Linked DNA regions of Cricetulus griseus. The protein of the gene in region 2 purifies or fractionates together with the protein of the main gene of each other region. This does not show direct contact. Links are inferred from orthologs where the notes say so. Each region holds a gene or a part of one and is shown on either strand. Other genes may lie near its edges.

Evidence for each region.
Region 1: the proteins of Stk24 (region 2) and Cttnbp2 purify together in Homo sapiens (affinity purification with mass spectrometry; 3 studies listed by BioGRID and IntAct, with this or other methods). This does not show direct contact. The link is inferred for Cricetulus griseus from reciprocal best matches to the Homo sapiens genes STK24 and CTTNBP2.

What each region holds. Positions count from the first base shown.
Region 1 is NW_023276806.1:208,170,665-208,181,185, forward strand, and holds part of Cttnbp2 (cortactin-binding protein 2), read left to right. Parts: intron 1-5,251; coding exon 5,252-6,884; intron 6,885-10,521. UniProt on the Homo sapiens protein: Regulates the dendritic spine distribution of CTTN/cortactin in hippocampal neurons, and thus controls dendritic spinogenesis and dendritic spine maintenance.
Region 2 is NW_023276807.1:271,168,675-271,179,195, reverse strand, and holds part of Stk24 (serine/threonine-protein kinase 24), read left to right. Parts: intron 1-594; coding exon 595-703; intron 704-924; coding exon 925-1,082; intron 1,083-5,006; coding exon 5,007-5,192; intron 5,193-6,970; coding exon 6,971-7,116; intron 7,117-8,835; coding exon 8,836-8,959; intron 8,960-9,689; coding exon 9,690-9,758; intron 9,759-10,521. UniProt on the Homo sapiens protein: Serine/threonine-protein kinase that acts on both serine and threonine residues and promotes apoptosis in response to stress stimuli and caspase activation.

The DNA of each region.
Region 1 (10,521 bases), on a different chromosome or scaffold from region 2:
GCCTATATTTTTGGAAGGTGAGGCAAATAAGTCAGTTTTCTGTTTGGTGATAAGGAATTGTACTGTGTCTCCATTATGGTGCAGGATCTTAAAACACTGGTCTCATGTGATTCCTGATTAATATATGTCTGCTGTTGTGCAAGTAAGGAAACCATACAGAACTAAGCTTTCTAGTTACAATTTAGCAAGGTCATACAAGTAAGAAGCTTGGGATCAGACTTGGCACTGCACCTCCGCATCTCTGAAACACACACAAGGCATGGGAGTGTGTTCTGTCCCAGTGGGAAGATTTACAGAGCACATGTTTGATATTTGCAAGGAGAAATGTGGTAAGTAATGGAACAAGTCCAAGAAGTGACTGGAAAGAATCGAGTTAATTACTAAAGGAAAGTCTAATGTTGGACAGATGGAAACCATTCTCTCAGTGAGTGAATCTTCTTGGTAAAGGAATCATGTGAAGGTGTACCAGGAGTCATCTTAGAAACCATCAGGAACATTGCATCAGCAGAGGTGAAGATTTGAAATATCTGTTGTAGTGAGTGGTAAAGGAAGCTGGAGAAGAGTGAGTGATGGTGACGTTGGGGGCCTATTGTGTGGCTGTCTCACTGTCTAGGTAGAATTGTAGAGGCACTACTGATGGAAGAACAGCAATTACCAAAGACTTGTGGGTACTTTTATAGTAGTGGAGTTTGGGGTATAAATATCAGCCATTAGTTACACGTTTTTCATTTAGAGGTTTCTCAAATTTGATTCTGAGATAGAAGATGAAAGCTATAAAAGAAATAAGGTGTGGTGTTCCATACTGAAGAAACAACGTGGTCAAGACATCTAGCACTGGCGAGGAGATGAATCCCTGGACCTCACTGGCTGGTCAGTCTAGCCCAGTCAGTGAGCCCCAGCTTTAATGAGTGACTCTATCTCAGAAATCAGCCAGAGAATGGACCTCTGGCTTCCACACACAGAATACATACACACATAGAACACACAGACACCCCCCCCCCACACACACACACCTACCTGAAACTTAGGGGAGAGGAGGACATGAGGGAGCAGGAAGGTTGAGTCAGGGGAAGAATAGAGAAGAGCAAGATAAGAGATGCCATAATAGATGGAGCCATTGTAGGTTTAAAGAGAAATCAGGCACTAGGGAAATGTTCAGAGATCTGCAAGGTGACCCCAACTAACAATCTAAGCAACAGAGGAGAGGCTACCTTAAATGCCCTCCCCTGAGAATGAGATTGATGACTACCTTATATGCCATCCTATAGCCTTCATCCAGCAGCTGATGGAAGTAGAAGCAGACACCCATAGCTAAGCACTGAACTGAACTGGAATCAAGTTGCAGAGAGGGAGGAGTGATGAGCAAAGGGGTCAAGACCAGGCTGGTGAAACCCACAGAAACAGCTGACATAAACAAGTGGGAGCTCATGGACCCCAGACTGATATCTGGGAAACCAGCATAGGACTGATCCAAACCCCATGAACGTGGAGTGGATGTCAGTGAAGAGGCCTCAGAAATCTATGAGGCCTTTGGTAGTAGATCAGTACTTATCTCTAGCATAGTGGGGAGCCCATTTCACATAGAGGGATAATACCTCAGCCTAGACATATGGGGGAGGGCCTAGGCCCTATCCCAAAGGATATGACAGACTCTGAAGACCCCCCCCCCTGGAAGGCCTCACCTTCCCTGGGGAGCAGAAATGGTATGGAATAAGTAGGGTGTTAGTGGGGGGCAGGGGAGAGGAAACTGGGATTGGCATATAAAACAATCTTGTTTCTAATTTAAATTTAAAAATGGAGAAAAAATAAAATAAAATAATAGCTGTGACCTCTGGTTAAACAGAGGTCTTCTTATGGTCTCATGACACTGTCAGAGCAATAGCATAGTGGATTCTTCCAGAAGAGGCATATTAGGACTGCCCAAAGTTGTTGGTCTTTAGAACATTTTACCTTCCTCTGCTGTAGGTAGCTAAAATTTGACTTGAGCCAAGTATTGACTTTACAGAGAATACATTTCATGTTTGTGCCTAAACCAGTAAACTGTTGAACAGTCTGGAAGTACCAGACATCTTTTCATTTCCCAAAGAATGCAAGTGTTTTTAATACTGTACTGTAGTCTATGTGTTTGTATTGTATCTAAAACACTGTACACAACTTCAAAGTGTTGTTATTACTATCAAGGGAGGAAGAAATGGTTCCCTTAATGATGTTGTTTGATGCAACTGTGAATCACAGTCATACAAAACACAATTAGGTTATGCCCACGTGTTTGTTTTCAATATCAAAAGGAGATAAAATAGCCTTTCTTCATCTTTAAACAACTAAATCCACTTTGACCCATGAAGCACTTTCTGGACTAACAGGAAAATAGTTTGTAGTGGACAGGTGCAGTGGGTGGGCCAACCTGATTGCTGCATCGCAGCCCATGGTATACCCTTAATGTTTCATAGTTTCATGACACATACTTCTCAGTAGAAAATAAACAATCTCGAGGACTTGTCAGAATAATGTAACTGGCTACTACTCCTGAATGTGTGATTCCTGACAGAATCTAAGGTAGCATACAGAATCTGGAATTCTCATGTTACCTCAGGACAACTAAGACAGGGACTTGGCCTAGGTGCCCATTAATGAATGGCCGGATGAAGAAAGTGTGGTTTATGTATATAGTATAGTGTGATCCAGCCTTAAAGGAGACTGGAATGATGTTACTTTTAGGAAAGTGAAGTGAACTGGAGAGCATGATTTTAAACCAAATAAGCCAACTCAGGAAGACAAACCTTACACGTTTTCTCTCCTGTAGATTCTGCATTTCTAAATATGACATAAAATCATAAGGAAGAAAATATTTATTTCTTTTTCCCATTTCTCTGACAAAATTCTTTACAAAAGCAATTTGAGGAAGGACAGGTTTATTTGGTCTCCTGGTTTGAGGGGATAGCGTGTCTCATGCTCTGGAAGGCAAGGTGGCAAGAATGTGAGACAATTGGTCACATTGTGGCTATGGTCAGCTGGCTTCCCCCTTTCCCTGTTTTATTCAGTCTAGGACCCTAGTGCATGGAATGGCGCTGCCTGCTCAAGGTGAGCTTTCCTTTTTTGGAAACACCCTCATAGACATGCGCAGAGGTAATACACCTCCTAGATGATTCCAAAAGTTAATAGCAAAGATTCCCCATGACAAAAACTATTTAGGAAGAGGAAGGGGACCAATGGTGGGGAGGTTCGAAAGAAGATAATTGGAGAAGAATTTGATTAAATTCTGTATATATGTGTTATATATACATACATGAAAATACCACAAAGATAATTATTTTGTGTAATATATAGCCATTAATAAAAATGCAGTTATAAATGTTGCTCATGTGCTCAGAAAAGCTGTTTCTTTTAGTAAATTACTATAGAGCAACAATGCTAACTTCATTCATTCATTAAACAATTTATCATGTACAACCATGTGCCAGCCACTATTGTAGGTCTGGAGGACACAGCAAATGATTCTTAGTCTTTCCACTCATAAAGTCATGTTGTAGAGAAGACAGATAGATACTAAACAAAAATGGTATGGACAACAAGAAAGGGGCTTTCTATGGAGGTGAAAGAAGGTGTCTTAGGGTTTTTTTTTTTTTTAAAGATTTTATTTATTTATTATGTATACAGTCTTCTGCCTGCATGCCAGCAGAGGGCACCAGATCTCATTCAAGGTGGCTGTGAGTCACCATGTGGTTGCCGTGAATTTGAACTCAGGACCTCTGGAAGAACAGTCAGTGCTCTTAACCGCTGAGCCATCTCTCCAACCCGTGTCTTAGGGTTTTTACTGCTGTAATGAAACACCATGACCCAACAGCATCTTGGAAAGGAAAGGGGTTTTTTGCTTACACTTCCGTATCACAGTCCATCATCAAGGGAGGAACCTGAAGGCAGAAATCGATGCAGAGGCATGATGGAAGAGTGCTGTTTACTGACTTGTTCTTCTTGCCTTGCTCAGTCCCACCAGTCCAGGGCTGTCACTGCCCACAGTAAGCTGGACCCTCCAACACCATCCATCAATCTAGAAAATTCCCCACAGGCTACAGGCCAGGATCATGGGGGTACTTTCTCAACTATGGCTACCACTTTCCAGATGATTCTGGCCGGTATCAAGTTGACATAAAACAGGCCTCACTGTAAGGGTTACAGTCAAACAGAAGCCTGAAGGAAAGAGGGGAGCCAACCTCTTCTGCTGCTCGATGATTTCTGTGACTATGAAGGAATCTCATCACCTCAGGGTGGCAGTGTAGCCCAATGGTAGGGCACTTTTATCATGCATGCAGCCCTGGGTTCAGTGCCCTCCCCTCACATCTGGAGACATAAAGGTTTTATAAGCTTACTCTCTGTGTCAATCCTGTGGCTTCATGAGCAGCCAATACATTTAGCTGATGAAAAGGCAGATCAGCCCCACACATAAGTTTGATGAGCAGGGGAGCCATAGGTTTTGCTTGCTAGTTACTTCTGTGACATGCATAGCATTCTTCATGAAGGAGAGCCTCCTGAAGGTGTGTGAGGGATTGTAGGCAGACAGGACAACAAGGTCAAAGACCCTGAGACAAGAGGTAGGGCCAAGTTCAAGAAATGCCAGGAAAGACAACGTAGCTGGACTGCAAAGTGGGATCCAAGTAAAGGCTGAGGGTCAGTCTCTAGGCTCACTAGCATAGACTGTAGTTCTAATGAAATAATCTGCTATCTCTTTATAGTTTTATTTTAAAAATCCCTTTACATGTGGTTACATATGACTTCCAGCCCATCAAAAGATGCTCAAAGAGGTAAATAAATAACTTAGCAATAGAATACCATTGGCAGATATGGAGCTTGGAATTTAAGTACTCTGATTGTGTAGCTCAAAGTAATTTCCAGCCACTGAACCATCATTAAGTGGCACCCATTCTCTCACTGATCTCTGCTCATCAAAACAGCCCCTTTTGAACTCTGCGCTGTGATTTGAGGCATCCTACTATGATTCTCTTGCACTGTAGTTAACTTTAATAGATTAAAACAATTCCCTTTTGTTGCCATGTAGGTGTTTTTAATAAAGCCATTTACGGCAATCTTCCCATTTTAATGAGTCTTTAAACATTATCCTTTCAAAAATCATAACAAAATGTGGCACTTTTGCTAACCCAAATCATGCCTTTGTTCAGAAATTAACAAAAAGCCCTTCTATGATACAAAGACTATTGTGTCTATTAATCCAGGCTTCCCTTTGAATATCTTCCAGTTGGAGATGGAAAAGCTTCAGCTCCAGGCCCTTGAGCAGGAGCACAAGAAGCTGGCTGCCCACCTGGAGGAGGAAAGGGGCAAGAACAAGCATGTGGTCCTGATGCTGGTGAAAGAGTGTAAGCAGCTCTCAGGCAAAGTCGTGGAGGAGGCCCAGAAGCTGGAGGAAGTCATGGTGAAACTGGAGGAGGAAAAGAAAAAGACAAGTGAGTTGGAAGACCAGCTCTCAGTGGAGAAACAAAGAAGCGCCGGAATGGAAGCTCAGCTGGAGAAACAGCTCTCCGAGTTCGATACAGAACGGGAACAGCTGCGTGCCAAGCTGAACCGAGAAGAGGCACACACCACTGACCTCAAAGAGGAGATAGACAAGATGAAGAAAATAATGGAGCAAATGAAAAGGGGAAATGACAGCAAGCCAGGCCTCTCCCTCCCACGGAAGACAAAAGATAGGCGCCTGGCTTCAGTATCTGTGGCAACAGAAGGGCCCATGATAAAGTCTGTTGCTTGCCAGACAGATGCAGTGACAGAAAGCACTGACCCTGTGAAGAAGTTGCCTTTGACTGTACCCATAAAGCCTTCCACAGGGAGCCCTCAAGTTCCCACAAACACAAAAGGGAATGTGGGCCCAGGTGCCCTACTGATTAGACCAGGTATTGACAGGCAGGCTTCCCACAGTGACTTGGGTACCTCTCTACCTACTGCCCCGACACCAAGTGCAAATAGAATTGAGGAAAATGGACCAAGCACGGGCTCCGTCCCCGATCTATCAAATAGCACACCCACAACCCCCAGTGGCACTGTCCCTGCCACTGCCCAGACACCAGGCACAGCTCCTCAGAGCCTCTCACAGGCTCCCCCTGTGCACAGTTTACATTCACCATGTGCCAACACACCTTTGCATCCAGGTCTCAACCCACGAATCCAAGCAGCCAGATTTAGATTTCAGGGCAATGCTAATGACCCAGACCAGAATGGAAATACCACCCAAAGTCCTCCCTCAAGAGATGTCTCTCCTACAAGTCGTGACAACCTAGTTGCCAAGCAGCTAGCCCGGAATACTGTGACCCAGGCACTGTCAAGATTCACCAGCCCTCAAGCAGGTGCTTCTCCAAGGCTGGGAACATCCCCAGGAGGGGATGCTGGCACCTGCCCTCCAGTCAGTCGAACGGGTTTAAAGACTCCTGGGGCAGCACGAGTTGACAGAGGAAATCCTCCTCCTATCCCTCCCAAAAAGCCAGGGCTCTCCCAAACTCCTTCTCCACCACACCCCCAGCTGAGGGCCTCCAATGCAGGGGCCAAAGTTGATAACAAAATTGTGGCTTCACCTCCCTCCACTTTGCCACAAGGGACCAAGGTAGTAAATGAGGAGAACATCCCTAAGTCATCTTCCCCCCAACTGCCACCAAAACCATCCATAGATTTAACTGTGGCACCTGCGGGCTGTCCCGTTTCGGCCCTGGCTGCGTCTCAGGTGGGTGCCTGGCCTGCTGAAACCCTTGGACTGAACCAACCTGCATGTTCAGACAGCTCCCTTGACATTCCCACCACCACTGCCTTTTGCTCTTCCATAAACCCTCTTAGTGCCTCATCCCATAGCCCCGGTGCCTCAGACAGCCTCCTGGTAACAGCATCAGGTAAAGGGATTGAACTCTTACACCCTTGTTAAAGAATGTGGCCTATTCTCTCATCTGTCCTATTTTCTTTCAAATTGTCTGAAAACATTTTTAATACCCCTTCCCCGTTTCCCCATTTATTTCCTCTGTTTTTTTTTTTCTTTTTAATTGTCTTTAAGGCTCTTGGGTGATGGTGATTCATCTTGCCCTATGAATTGTGGTTCCATCATGCTAAGTTCTTCTTCTTGAAAATAACTTGAAAATAGTGGTTTTTGAAGCACACAAAGACCATTAATTTAGAGAGACTAAAGCATTTCCAGGAGAGGATAGAGTATCCCTTCTTATCAAATATTTAATCTCAGGAGACCTCAGTGTTAATGGATCATCCTTAGTGTGCATTCAATTCGTTCCTTCTAGGGTGACATAGGAAACATCCTTTCAAGTCACTGTTCACACCACTCGGGTTTAGCAGTCGTCGATGGGGGTTTGCTCTGTAGGTAATGGACTGGAGGTGAATATCTGTTTGGTATGAACATTCCCTTCTTATCTTCAACAAAGGACCATGAGTGAATGCCAGGTACCCTGTTTGATAAGGTAGTGTCCTCTAAGTCTTGAGCACACAGATGGCTTCTGTGCCACATGTGTCATGTTAAAGTTCCCATTGCATCAGGGCATCCTGAAGTTGCTGGTTGGGGGAGTTGCAAAAGGACTAGATAATTTTCTTTTTGTTGTATATAGTTTCATGGAAGCATTTCTTTTTTTATTAACAAGGCTAAAGTGACATGCTTGGTGTCGAAGCTCTGTTAGCACCTGGAACAGTTGGTGCTGACATCACACATTGGGGTCAGCAGGTCTATTGGGCTCTAAAGAGAAGGGGTTTAAAAAGGAAAAGAGCATTTCCAGAGCATCACATTTATAACTTAAAGCATGCAGCCCTGTCCTTGAGGGGGTAAGTGCTGCAGATGGCATGCTTGTAGATCAAGCTGTCCCTGTTCCCGTTGAAATTCAGCTTTGAGAGAGGGGTTTTCATTTCTGAGGGCAAAAACTGAGAGCCAGAAACATCATGAACTTTGGAGTGGTAGATCAGTGTTATAGTTGAGGCTCTGTGGTGTGTAACTGTGTTCCTGATAATGAGCAGGTTCTTTCTTCCTTAAATAGGAGTGTATACTGCTCAGAGAGAGGGTTGCTGGAAGGAGTCTCAGAGACCGTGACGCATCAAGGCATGGCACTGACTTGGGGCAGCACGAGCAGTCACAGCCTCATTAAGAGTCTTGCTATAGCTCTTTGGAGAATAGGCCTTACAGTTGATCTTAGTGTCATTTTGCACTGTCTTTATAGGTATTGGAGATTCCCTTTTATTTCTCTCCAAAATGGTTGCATCTCTTGGTATTGCTCAGAATTATGTTAGCTTTCCCACTTGTTAAACATGCCCCGACAAAGGAGAGATTTGGTACCACCCAGAAGATTCTAAACATGAACCTTAAGACCTGCAGGTCGCTGGAAAGCATCGGCTCCAAAGTCATTTGGAGCCCCGTGAGTGCTCTGGTGCAATGTATAGACTGCATGACAGACAGCACTTCCCAGGGCACATGAATGTCATCAGCTGGTTTGTTTACAGCTGCAGAGCCATCTGTCCTCTGATACTTTGGCTCTGCTGGCTGCTGCCTGGGTAGGCACTGATCCCAGTTCCAGCTGCAGACATCCTTAAGGTTTGAAGAGAAGCTCCAGAGGCAGCATGTGTAGTCACTGGTTTTTGAGGGAAGTTTTACAAGATGGCTAATCCCTACTGTATTAAATGTTTGCCCAAACAACCTATTTTGTGTTCAGTGGAATTCTAGATAAAGAAGCCAGGACCCTAAAATAAAATGCCTTTTGGGAATATCTGAGGTGCTAAGGAGAATATAAATAGAGTTTTTGTCGAAGCAGTCACCGTGGAAGATATGTACAATCAGTTTGTTGTTTTCTGATATCCAGTCTTTTGATTTGGCCATAGTCACCTCAACTATAGGAAGACCTTTGGTGGAATAGCAGGCCTCTGTTGGCTTGATTATAAGGTGTGCCTCTTTGGGGCAGCAGGGTGGCACCAGAGGAGTTAGTCCTTCAGCAGGTGTTATTAAGAACCTCCTCATGTACTCCGAGGGCAAAAATGTTAGACTGATGGATGCATGCTTGTATAATTATAGAATTCAACTGCAGGAGTAGGCCATCCTAAACTCCCCAAATTTGATGGTGTTTCGGCTGTATTGCATTTCGTTTGTTCCAATTCTTCTGTTTTTAAGATTATTTGGGTGGTGCTGGGCTGCCTATCCAGGGCCTTGTGCATGCGAGGTGAGCACTTCACTTCTGAGCTCCACTGCAGTGTCTGCCAACACCCCCATCTCAGCTAGAAAGCACCAGAGCACCTTCCATCTGCCTCTTAACCTGGCTGTGCCTAGGTGGGCTTGTCCCTTCATAGGTCATTAGCACATAGGAAGTCATTAACTTCCCACTGACCCCATTGCAGTGACTAGGAACTGCAATTCCTAATTTTTGCTCTTTTGTGGTTCTGATCCTGGAGAGACATTATTTCTATGCTACTGGCTTTGCCATCTAAAACATAAACTCTTGGATACAAAAATTATTTCCCTACTGAAGGCTGTCCTGCCTTATCCTGATGGGTAAGATAGTTTACTGTCTGTCCCTCCTTGCCCTGGACCCCATAATCTTTCTCTTGAGATCACCTGTGTACCTGTCATCTTCTGTGTCTAACAATTAAGTGACCTGAAAGCCCAGAAGAAAGCTGGGATGACAGAAGGTTCCCATTTTAATGGATTGCATTGTCACTTGCACTAAGCAGAGGCAACTTCTTGTCAAACCACGAATTTTTGAAATTGTGTTGTAAGTTCTAAATAAATTAGAAGTTCTTGTCCCTCAGGAACTTATCAAATGAACATGCACAGTCAGTGATTGGATGAGTAAGTTTAAAGCAGGTGTTAACTCCAGGCAACCGAGTCCCCAAACCCTTGCACATTTTCTGTTTCTATTTCGTCATGGTTTTCCTTATCACTATTATTTATTTTATACATTTTATTTCATTTGGTTCAGACTTTTTTCTTTCCTTAAATATATTCTTTAAAGTATCCTCATGTATGATTGGCTTGGAAGCTAAATCCAAAAACGAGAATGGTCTGGGCTGTGACCTTAACCCCTCTCCACCCTCTGAAGCTGGTGCCAGAAGCTGTCCTCAGCTCCTCCTCTTCTGCCATTGCATGTCCCCTCTGTCTCGTGACCTGCTATGCAACGTCCTTACCTTTACTAATGTTTGCCTATGATGCTGCACAACTGAATGACTTTCTAACATCCGTAGAGTAGCTGTATGGATTCGGGTCTATTCTGTCATTACTAATCCAGGTAACCAGATATTACCATTTCTCTCATTATTGAGAGTTTCTGATGAATACTAGTGTTGTGATGAGGTTGTTATTTCACTTCCCCCATATTTGTAACAGGATTTATTAAGATAAATTGTGCTTGAAAAAAATTGGAAGCAACAAGTTAAAAATACAGCATTTATTTGAAGTTTCAGAGTATATGATATTTACAAAGCATATTTCTTTGGTGAAGATTTAAAAAGTATGTTTTTCAGTCCTCTGAGGAAGCTGAGAGAGCTGCTTCTGAA
Region 2 (10,521 bases):
CCAGGACACCTGACCCTTTAGGCTGGGATTACAGGTGTGCATACACCAGGACACCTGCCCTTTAGACTGGGATTACAGGCGTGCGTCACCAGGACACCTGGCCCTTTAGACTGGGATTACAGGCGTGCGTCACCAGGACACCTGGCCCTTTAGACTGGGATTACAGGCGTGCGTCACCAGGACACCTGGCCCTTTAGGCTGGGATTACAGGTGTGCATACACCAGGACACCTGGCCCTTTAGACTGGGATTACAGGTGTGCATACACCAGGACACCTGGCCCTTTAGGCTGGGATTACAGGCGTGCATCACCAGGACACCTGGCCCTTTAGGCTGGGATTACAGGTGTGCATACACCACCTGACCCTTCAGGCTGGGATTACAGGCGTGCATACCCCACGACACCTGACCCTTCAGGATGGGATTACAGGCGTGCGTACACCACGACACCTGACCCTTGAAGGGATTTCAGTTGTTTAGCAAAACACCTGCTTTATGTGAAGACATCTTTTGTTTTAATTATCCTGTCTGTTTAGCATGGACCTTGTTTTGACATCTGAGTGGCTAATAAATGATTTTTTTTTTTTCTTGTTAGTTAGAACCTGGCCCTTTAGATGAAATTCAGATTGCTACCATATTACGAGAAATTCTGAAGGGACTTGATTATCTACACTCTGAGAAGAAAATCCACAGAGACATTAAAGGTAGGAGCTACTCTTGTTTTCATTTCTTTGAAACACCTGAAGTGGCGGAGCCTTCCGTACCTCTGTCCTGCCTACTCTGCATCAAGCTGAACTGTTGTGAACCTCTGGGCACCTTGCTATTACAGGCCCTTGTGCCCTGTGGGGAAAGCATGCCTGGACTCCCAGGGTGAGCCTGGGTGGGTATAACTGTAATGATGTCCCCCTGCTTGGTTGTCTTGCAGCTGCCAACGTTCTGCTCTCTGAACATGGGGAAGTGAAGCTGGCTGACTTTGGAGTAGCTGGCCAGCTGACCGATACCCAGATCAAAAGGAACACCTTCGTGGGCACTCCCTTCTGGATGGCGCCCGAGGTCATTAAGCAGTCAGCCTATGACTCAAAGGTGAGAGAGAGCCTGTGCTGTGGACCCACGACATTCAGATGTCTGTCCCCTTTCATTTTTGCATCCGTGTCTTTCCTTCCGTACCTGAGGTAGGTTGTAGAGGTAATTCTGTGAGCTTCCTTCTTCATCTCCCGCTGTGCTATTGGCTATCTTGTTCTTCTGGCCTTGGTGTGTGTTTGATCTGGTGGGGCCAGGAAGGAGCAGATACGAGGGTGGGCATAGCTTCAGCCTTCTGAGACATGCAGACCCTGGATAGATGGCTCGTGGCAGGCAATGCCGCAGCACAGGAGCACCAAGGTGGGTGGGATCTTGGCACAGTGATGAAGGGCAGGGCCTGGACAGAGCTCAGCCTGCTCTGTATAGATAGGGCTTCTAGAGAAAGAATCAGAGTGTAGTGGTATCTTGTTCCGACCATGGACTTGGGGTGGTGGCCACACCTTAGGGTGTGGCTTCAGTGTGTGACGATGGACGTGACCCCTTATAAGGAAGAGGAGGGGCTGGCTCGTGCTCTCTGAAGTTGTGGTTGGAGCATCCTTCAGGGCAGAGGCTGCCCACTGCATCAGAGAATCCACAGAGAAGCCCATGGCAGAATGGGGCAAGCATCATTCTATAGTGACTGCACCATGTGTTCTCATTTTGGTCTCAGGTCCTTACTCCCAGAGGCTGTGAGACAGCAGGAGACTGCAGTCCTCCCACAGTTGCTTGTTTTTCAGCTTCTGTACCTCGTGTTCATTGTTTTTTTGGTCCTTTAGTTTTTTGAAGCCTTGTAATAGGCCACTCCATTTGCTCGGGTCAGCGGCCTGTGCATAGTAACAATGATCATGGCAGAGAAGTAGCTTTCCTGAGTCCCAAACTTCACAACAGCAGCAAAAATTTAACTCAGGGATGCTCATAGGTCGAACATTGTTTTTTGTTTGTTTATTTATTTACGTGCGTGTGTGCGTGCGTTCGTCTATGTGAATATGCACGTATGAATGCTGATCCTTGGGAAGGCTGGAAGCATTAGGTCATCCCCGAGATGGAGTCAGGCTGCTCTAAGCTGTCTGACACAGGTGCTGGGAACCAGACCAGGATTCTTACGAGAACAGTGTGAGCTCTGAAATGTGTAGCTGTCTTTCCAGCCGCCAGTCCCCATCCCCTATGAAGACGGTTTTGCTCTGTTGCTGGAGTCTGACAAACTGGTGAGCTGCCTGCTTCAGCCTTCTGGTGTTGAGATTGCAATGATGTGTTAGCATGCCAGGCTCAAGCCTTTGTCACTCTTTCTTCTCTCTCTCTTCTTTTTAAGATAGGACCCTCCTCCATGTGTAGCAGCTTTCCTGGCTCATTAAATGGTGTGTGGAACATAGGCTAACTTGCCTTTGGGACCTTGGGTGGCTCTTGTAAGGTGTCATGGCATGTCATGGTGGGTGAAGGTGCAGCTGTCCCACGTTCTGGCTTGAGAGAACTCAGAGACTGGTGATGTGGTAGCTCGGGTAGGAGCTCTTTCCCCGGCATCCAGAAAGCAGCAAGTGTGCTTCAGGCTAGTCAGTTCTGCTCTCTGCATTTGTTGCCCAGGCCTTTTCCCTGAGTTCTGTCATACAGAAAGGTGGGTGTATTGTCCACAGCTCACTGTCAGTGCTCATGTCTGAATTTTGGTAGAAGAGGGACTAGAATCCAAGTTCCTTTCATTGCAGGTCATTCTCTTTCAGTTGCACTCAATTGGCTTTTCAACCATGGCCCTTAGGACTTGGAACCCAGGCCACCCATTTCTGTTTTACACATAGCCACCCCTTTTTTGTTTGCCAGAGAGCTCTCCTGATCTTGCTGTCATTCCAGAGCATCTCTAAAATGACTTTGTGGTACAGTTCAACCTTGGTTGTTTTGGGCTATGACTGTCCTCTCCTTACCTGATTTTCATTCGAATCCCCAGGTGCCACACGTCGTAAATGTAGTGATAGGCAAGGTTACGTTTGCTGGGATTTGGTAGAATCAGTTCATTAAGTTAATGGGCTATGGTAATGTAATTATTTGTTCTGAGGTAGAGTAAGTAATGCTGCTTGTGGAATGTTTGGGAGACGCCTTCTGTCTTCCTACTCACATTTGTTAGGGTAGGTTGGGTTTACACATGGATTCTTATTGTGGTCTTTGATTATGTGCCAAATGGCTTGGTGCTCATGGGCTCAGTGTCCAGGTTTGTCAGTGGGCTTCAGATGCACAGGGGGACTGCACAGGCTCCAGGTGCAAGGGCAGCTTAGCCAGGCTAGTGCTAGAAGGACATGGGACGGCTGGCAGTTAAAGCCTTGTCACATGGCCACACATCTGTCACCTGGCTGGGTTTAGATATTTCATAGTTTTGGGTGTTTTTGGTTTTTTTTTTTTGGACAAGGTTTCATTATATAACCCATTTTGGTCATGAACTTTCAGTTCCTCTGGCTCAACCTCCTTAGTGCCAGGATGGCACCAGGTTGTTCTCGGTTAGGACGATCCAAAGAGGACAGGTGAGAGTCAGGCCTTCCTTAATGCTCCTGTAGGTTGCTTTCCTATGTGTGGCTTTCTTGCTTCTTGTCACCTTCATGGTTCTGACTGGTACCCTGCCGTAAGGGTTTCTGGAACTTTCAAAGTTACAATGGCAAGTGAGTCCACTCCAAGTGGTTAAAGGTCAGCAATGTCCGAGTCCTGTAGTCACCTGAACAGGCCTTCTCTTGCCACGTGTAAGAGAGAAGGCTGTCCCTTCAGGGCCTGGTGATGAGTTCACAGGGCAGTGACGTGAGCAGAGGTGTCTCCCTCCACTGCAGGTCCCCATGTCAGCTGTTTGCCAGCCTGTTGTGTTGTTTGTTTTGAGTTGCTGACAGCCCTGCTCACTGTAGAGCAGCCCTAAGACTGCTGTGTGTTCCCAGTCTATCTGATGTGTCTTTCCCGGTGTGTTCTCAGCCTGGGTCCCGTGGACTCTGACATGAGACTCAGACTCAGCACTGGGGAGCCCTGCTGCCTAAGCCCATGTACCAATCACTTCAGTCAGTGCACAGTGGGTTCCTTAAATGGTGACTGTAGTGAAGGGCATTCAGCAGTCTTAGGAAAAGGCTGTCAGTAACTCAAACCAAACGAAACACACAACACAACAGGCCACAAGACTTAGTGACTTATTTTATAATGTTGTATGACGACACATAGACGAAGTCTGTACGGAAGTGCTAGTAGTGATTTTGGTTGTGTGGTGATGTGTTAATGTTTCCCATGTCCATGTGTGACCACACTTCATAGCAAACATTCTGCATGGCTGAATGCAGGTAGAGCGTTTGCTTAGCATGCGTGAGGCCCTACGTCCAATTCCCAGCACTGCCAAAGCAATCAAACAAAACAAAGCTGCTGTAAGTTCTGGGCACAGTGGTCGGCCCTTTACATATCCTTCTGTAACCACCTCCCTCTTGAAAAGCAAGGGGGCGGGGCTCAGGGAAGCAATTCTCTAATGTTGTAAGACTACAGAGCTGGTGTTGAGACCAAGGTTCCCTCTGGATCTGAACAGCTGTGCCTGGCACCAGGCGCTGCTCAAGGGGTGACTCCCAAGCAGCTCCGCCTGCTCGTCGGCTCCTGTGAACACTGCTGCAAGGGCTGTACTGAGCACACCTCACAGGCGCGATGCCTACCATAGACGCGGCCAGTCAGGAGCTATATAGGGCGGGGCATTTGCTTCAACAGATCTGCCCACTGTGTTTTGTCTTGAAATTATGCCAAGGGCTTGTGTTTCTTCTTAGTTCAAGATGATTTTCTTTTTCAGAACCTGAGATTGAAACAGACCCACAGACAGACAGACAGACAGTCTCTCTCTCTCTCTCTCTCTCTCTCTCTCTCTCTCTCTCTCCTCTCTCTCTCTCTCTCTCTCTCTCTCTCTCTCCTCTCTCTCTCTCTCTCTCTCTCCATGTCTTAAAGATGCTTTGGTCCTTGCAGGCAGACATCTGGTCCCTCGGCATCACAGCGATAGAACTGGCCAAAGGAGAGCCTCCACATTCCGAGCTGCACCCCATGAAGGTGTTATTCCTCATCCCAAAGAACAACCCTCCCACACTGGAAGGAAACTACAGCAAGCCCCTCAAGGAGTTTGTGGAGGCCTGTTTGAATAAGGAGCCCAGCTTTGTGAGTGTACCCCGTCTCTGTGGTCTCAGCTGGTTTGAATTTGTTCTTTTGGGGTTGTCCCAGTCACTGTTAGCCACTGTCTCCATGAGCTCATACATCTTTGCAAATGAGTTTGATTTCTTGGAATTACAGAGACTTTTGTTGTTGCCATTTTACCTTTTAGGGATTTAAGATGTAATTATTTTGTTTAGAGTTTTCTAATGTCTTACACCTCATTGAACCTGGAGAATATTCTCTGTAGAACTGGAGTAGGGTCGGCAAGTTTTTAGTGCTCAGAGAGAAACAGGCTGTAAACTGGAAAACTACTTTGGTAATGGCAGAGGCTGGCCTGAAGATAATGGCAGTAAATATTGTTTCCAGTTGTCGTGTGCTGTGAGGCAGACAAATCAGACACATGGGACCTGCCCATCTCTGCCTCCTCTCCCTGGCCCTCTGAGTTTATTCAGCGGTGGCAGAGCCCACGCACCAGCCACATTGAGCTTTGCCTCCTTTTCCTGATAACTGGGGCTTTCCTTTGAAAGCAGCATGTAATTTGTGTCACGTGTAGCATCCTGTGTCCACGTTTTGGGTTTCTTTGAGCAGAGTTAGCTGGCAGCAATGCTTCATTGAACCCTAAGAATATCCATGAGGGGTCCCCTTGGCCTCTTGTCTGAAAATGGTGAGAAAAGCTGAGTTTTCCAAGAGTAGTTCCCCCGTCGGTACCAGCTCAGGCAATGGAATTGATCATATCGTGGCTGCAGATTGAGGTCAGCCTATCTGTCAGCATTTGGTCACTGGGGTGGGTGTGGTCTTGCATGAAGTCCACTTGTTTGATTGCTCAAGGCACAGGGTAGCATCCACAGTATGTTAGCATCCGGGAAGAGACCAAGTGTGTACACATCTTCTAAAGCATGTCAGTGCTCATTTATTACTAGGGTACACCCCTCCATCTTGGCTTGTCCCTGGACCTTCAGACAAGAAGGTCTGCAAAGCTGAGAATAGGAGCACTTGGGACGATGGAGAAGGGGAGGCCACTGGGGTTCTCAGAAATCATGGCTAGAGGAACATGCTGTTCTTACAAGAGGAAAACGTTGATTATCTGGAGCAGGTGGGACTATGGTGTGCCTGGCTGGCACCTCTGTGCTTTTGCTGTCTGTCCCTGGTTGGGCCACTCTGTGTTGAGGGAGCTTTGTGCCAGTAGATGGGAAACCACTGGCTAACCTCTGGGTGTGCCATTCAGTTGGAGTTGTGCCACGTCCAGGTGGTGATAGAGTTGTCGGCCCTTGACACTGGGGTAGGGATAGGTTCACACACTGACTTTTCTAGTTGGGAATGCTGGTGACCGACCAGTTGTGTATCTCCTGACTCCTGCCCCAACCTGTTCTAGATGAGTCTAATTACTGAGTTGGTTTTAATTTGTGGTATTAGCCTAACACTGTAGGAAGTCATGAAGAGCATGTATTTCCCTTAGTCAGCACTTGTCATGAGGTGCCATGTAAAATAGGAGCTACTCTCTCAGGCAGTGCCATGGAAACCAGGAGAAGCTCTCTCGGGCAGTACTCACAAAGCTCTCCCTCTGTGGAGTTACTGTAGAAGGGCTCTTGCTTCAACCTAATGGTTCTGATAGAATGTTTTTGTCCATGTTGGGAACTGTCACATTTACCTTGTGCCTGTAGTCTTGGGCATAGGTGTGGAGTGACTGATCTGGTGTTTTAGCCCAGTGGTCTGGCTGCCCGGGTGGAATAGAGTAGGATGAAGAAGACACTTCTCACGATTATTTGGACGCTTGTGTTTTCCAGAGACCCACCGCCAAGGAATTACTGAGGCACAAGTTCATAATCCGCAATGCAAAGAAAACGTCCTACCTGACCGAGCTCATCGACAGGTACAAGAGGTGGAAGGCGGAGCAGAGCCGTGACGACTCCAGCTCGGAGGACTCGGATGTGTAAGCGGCCCCGCCCCACAGGCTGGAGCTACCAGTCCTTCCTGATGGACTGTGTGTGCATGCGAGTGTCTGTGCTTTGGGCTGTGTCCCTTCCTTTTGGACTTACGCTGAGTTTTGTGTTGTACACGTGCCTTGTTTGAGGTTCTTTGTCCCCGCACTGCCATGGGGTTTGAGTGAGTTCTGCATAATTAGAAGCATAGGCAGAGTTGTGGCAATAGCTTCCTTCTCTTCATTACCCCTGACGATACCCCCCTCTAAAGGTACTGACAGACAGTCCTCGTATGCAGTGCTGAAGAGAAAAGAAAGAATGCTTTGGCGACTGGTCGGTGTTGCTCTGTGTGGGGCAGTTACTCACTGAAAGCGGGTTCCCCTAAGCACCACGTTGTGCCGACTGGCGTGTGAAGTGACTGGCACCCTCCAAACAGGAGCTAGAGGGAGGGTGGCCTGGCTGTCTTGTAAGAGTGAAAGGAGGCACCTGGAGGCCCCATAGCCATTAGCTAGCATCGTGTCTCCATGCCAGGACAGCTGACTGCAAGCCTCTGCGACCCACCCATGTCTGAAGATCCTGGTTACTGTTTATAACCAAGGTTGAGACCACTGACTGGATGGTTAGCTCAACAGCGAAGGCTGAAGAGAGTGGAGGCAGGGCTGGGGGCCAGGCTGTGGCAGTAGGTGTGGATGGAGGTGTCAAGGTCCTGACCTGTCACACCAGCTAATCCCAGCTACCAGAGCCTTGCTGAAACCATCTCAAAATAAAATGTACACAAAGTGCTGGGATTGTTGCTCAGGATCTGCCTAGCATGTTATAGGAGGCTCTGGGTCTAATCCCCAGTGAAGGGTTTGGGTAAAGGAAGCAGGGAAGGAAGGAAGGTGTTCCAGGTTTCAGCACTGAGGAGTAATGTCACTGTGGTAACACATCACAAACAGTTTGATGTGGGCCATGTTGGAATTTGAGCTGCTGTGGAATGGTGTAGAAGACACGTAGCTTAAAGGATTGTTGTGGCACTGAGAGCAGGCAGAAGACACAGACTTATGTATACCCTGCTGTAGAAAAGACCTTGGAATTGGCGCTGTGAGAAGATGGCGTCACTTAAGGAGAGGGGTCAGAGCCGGGAGTCAGCCTCTAGGAAGCCAGCATCAGAGGACGGTGGGGACATGGGAGCAGCTGTGGCTCTGTCGGTGGGAAAGGATGGAGGTGACAGGACAAGTGTGAGGCATTGCTGCTGAGGGCCAAGCAGGCTCCAGAATGAGCAGGGAGGTGACCCCCTTCTCTGACAGTGTGTAGGGTTTTGGTGGCAGTACACCAGGGGGCTGTGGCGTTAGGGACAGTGATAGATAGTGAGTAGAGTTGCTTAACTTGTAGCTCGGCGTGGCTGCGAACGGGCTGTGGCCTAAGGGGAGAAGAGGAGAACAAGGTACCTGCAAAGAAAGTGAGGTTCAAGTGAGGGACAGAGAAGGGGCAGATGGTACTTAGGAGAGGTGTGGCACCTTGTTGTGCCACAAGCAGCAGGCAGCAGCGGCAGCGGCAGCATAGTGGTAGTGGGCCGGTAGCACGAGGGCAATCCTAGGAGCCACACCCCTTCCCGTCCTCTGTGATGTTCTGGGAGGCCTCCAGACTGAGGGGCACTGGCGACTGAGTGGGGCTGGGGTCAGTGGCATGGGCTGTGTGGTTCATGGCCTAGCCCATGTTGGTGAATTTGGTGGAATTTCTGTGTTAAGGGAAACAGATGGCCAGGCGTCTGGAGGCAGTGACTCTGGGGACTGGATCTTCACAATCCGGGAGAAAGATCCCAAGAATCTGGAGAATGGGACTCTTCAGCCATCAGATTTGGAAAGAAATAAGGTACGGTGGTGGTTTGTGCAATCTCCCATGCCCATGCTCGCCCAGGACAAGCCTGCTGTGGGAGTGGATGTGGAGCTCCTCGAAGCAGCTCCTTGGTGGCATTGCCCTCAGGGAATTGGTCCTGCCTGAGAGTGTGGATGCTGGCCTGTGTGCCCTTCACCTCCTGACCCTCGGCCACATGGTGGCGCTGGAAGTGTCACACATGACCACTCTGTGAGCACTTGCTGGACTTCTCATAACATTGCTGATTTTATGGGGGAGTTTTAATTGTTGATATTTAATACAGACTTGAGGAGGTGGTTTGTCTCCACTTAAATTTACAGAAAGCTATGTTGTGAAGATTTATTTATTTATTTATTTATGTTCAGTTGTCAGGCTATGTGGACTACTTGTGACCATACAGCCTCCTCTGGTGAGGTAGGCAACTTCAGAGAGGTGGGGGGAACCGGGCTTTTCATACAATGGCTGCCTGGAGCACCTGGCTTTAGTCCTCCAGAGTGTCCTTGGAAAAGACTGCAGAGCAGGGCAGGGCAGGGCAGCAAGTTTGTTCTCACCTACCTGGTATCTTGCAGTGATTTCCCGTGGGGCCCCTCTGTCGACAGTCTCACTCAGATAGTAACAGAAATCACTTCCAGGAGTTCACTGGAAAATCCAGTCCATACCTTGGTAGAACCTTTGCCTGTCTCAGTGTTGCCTGTTTCTAATGGCCCCTTTTCTTTTCTTCCCCAAGATGAAAGACATCCCAAAGAGGCCTTTCTCTCAGTGCTTGTCCACAATAATTTCTCCTCTGTTTGTGGAGGTAAGATCCCTGGCTGCCTTTCTTGTGGGGAGGGATTAGGAGGGGGGACAAGGGGAGCAGGGCTGTTCTTTTGTAGGTGGCTGTCGGGACAAGTTGGGGCCATTAAAACGCCTATAGCAGAGGCAGGCTCAGTGTCTTCATCTCAGTGGCTTCCATAAGCCAGGCACATGCGTAGGGAAAGCTGTTTGGATTTCCATGTTTGTCCGGCTGTGTAGGTTTTACTGGGCTTAAACTATTGAAATCATTTCTCAGTAGTGACCCCCAAATCCAAATCCACCAGAAATGAGTTAATACTGTGGAAGTTCTAGAGAACCCAGAGGAAATACTTCCAGTCCCTCCCGTTCGTCTGTCCGTATTCGCCTGTGTCGTGCAACCCCCCCCCCCCCCATGCACTGTCGTTAGGAATCAGGGCTGCAACTAGAGGGGAGAATTCAGTGTTCATCGTGGTTCCCAGAGCTCAGTAAACACACAAGCATGGGCGAACCAGCGCACGACGCTCCATGCTGCAGTCTGCTTATCCAGGGCGGTTACGCACGTACACACGCATGCACGCACGCACGCACGCAGTGATAAGGGGCTGTTCAATCAGACAGTCCTGCTGATAGGGGGACTCTGGCTCTTTCTTTGCTTCTGCTTTGAGACACACAGGTGTGGGGCAGGCGGTATTAGCAAACAGACATGTTTGTTGTGTGCTGCTTCTGTGGGCCTCTCCAGTGTCAGCCGTGGTCAGTTGTCTCTTCTCCATGGCCCACTCGTAGGGCGA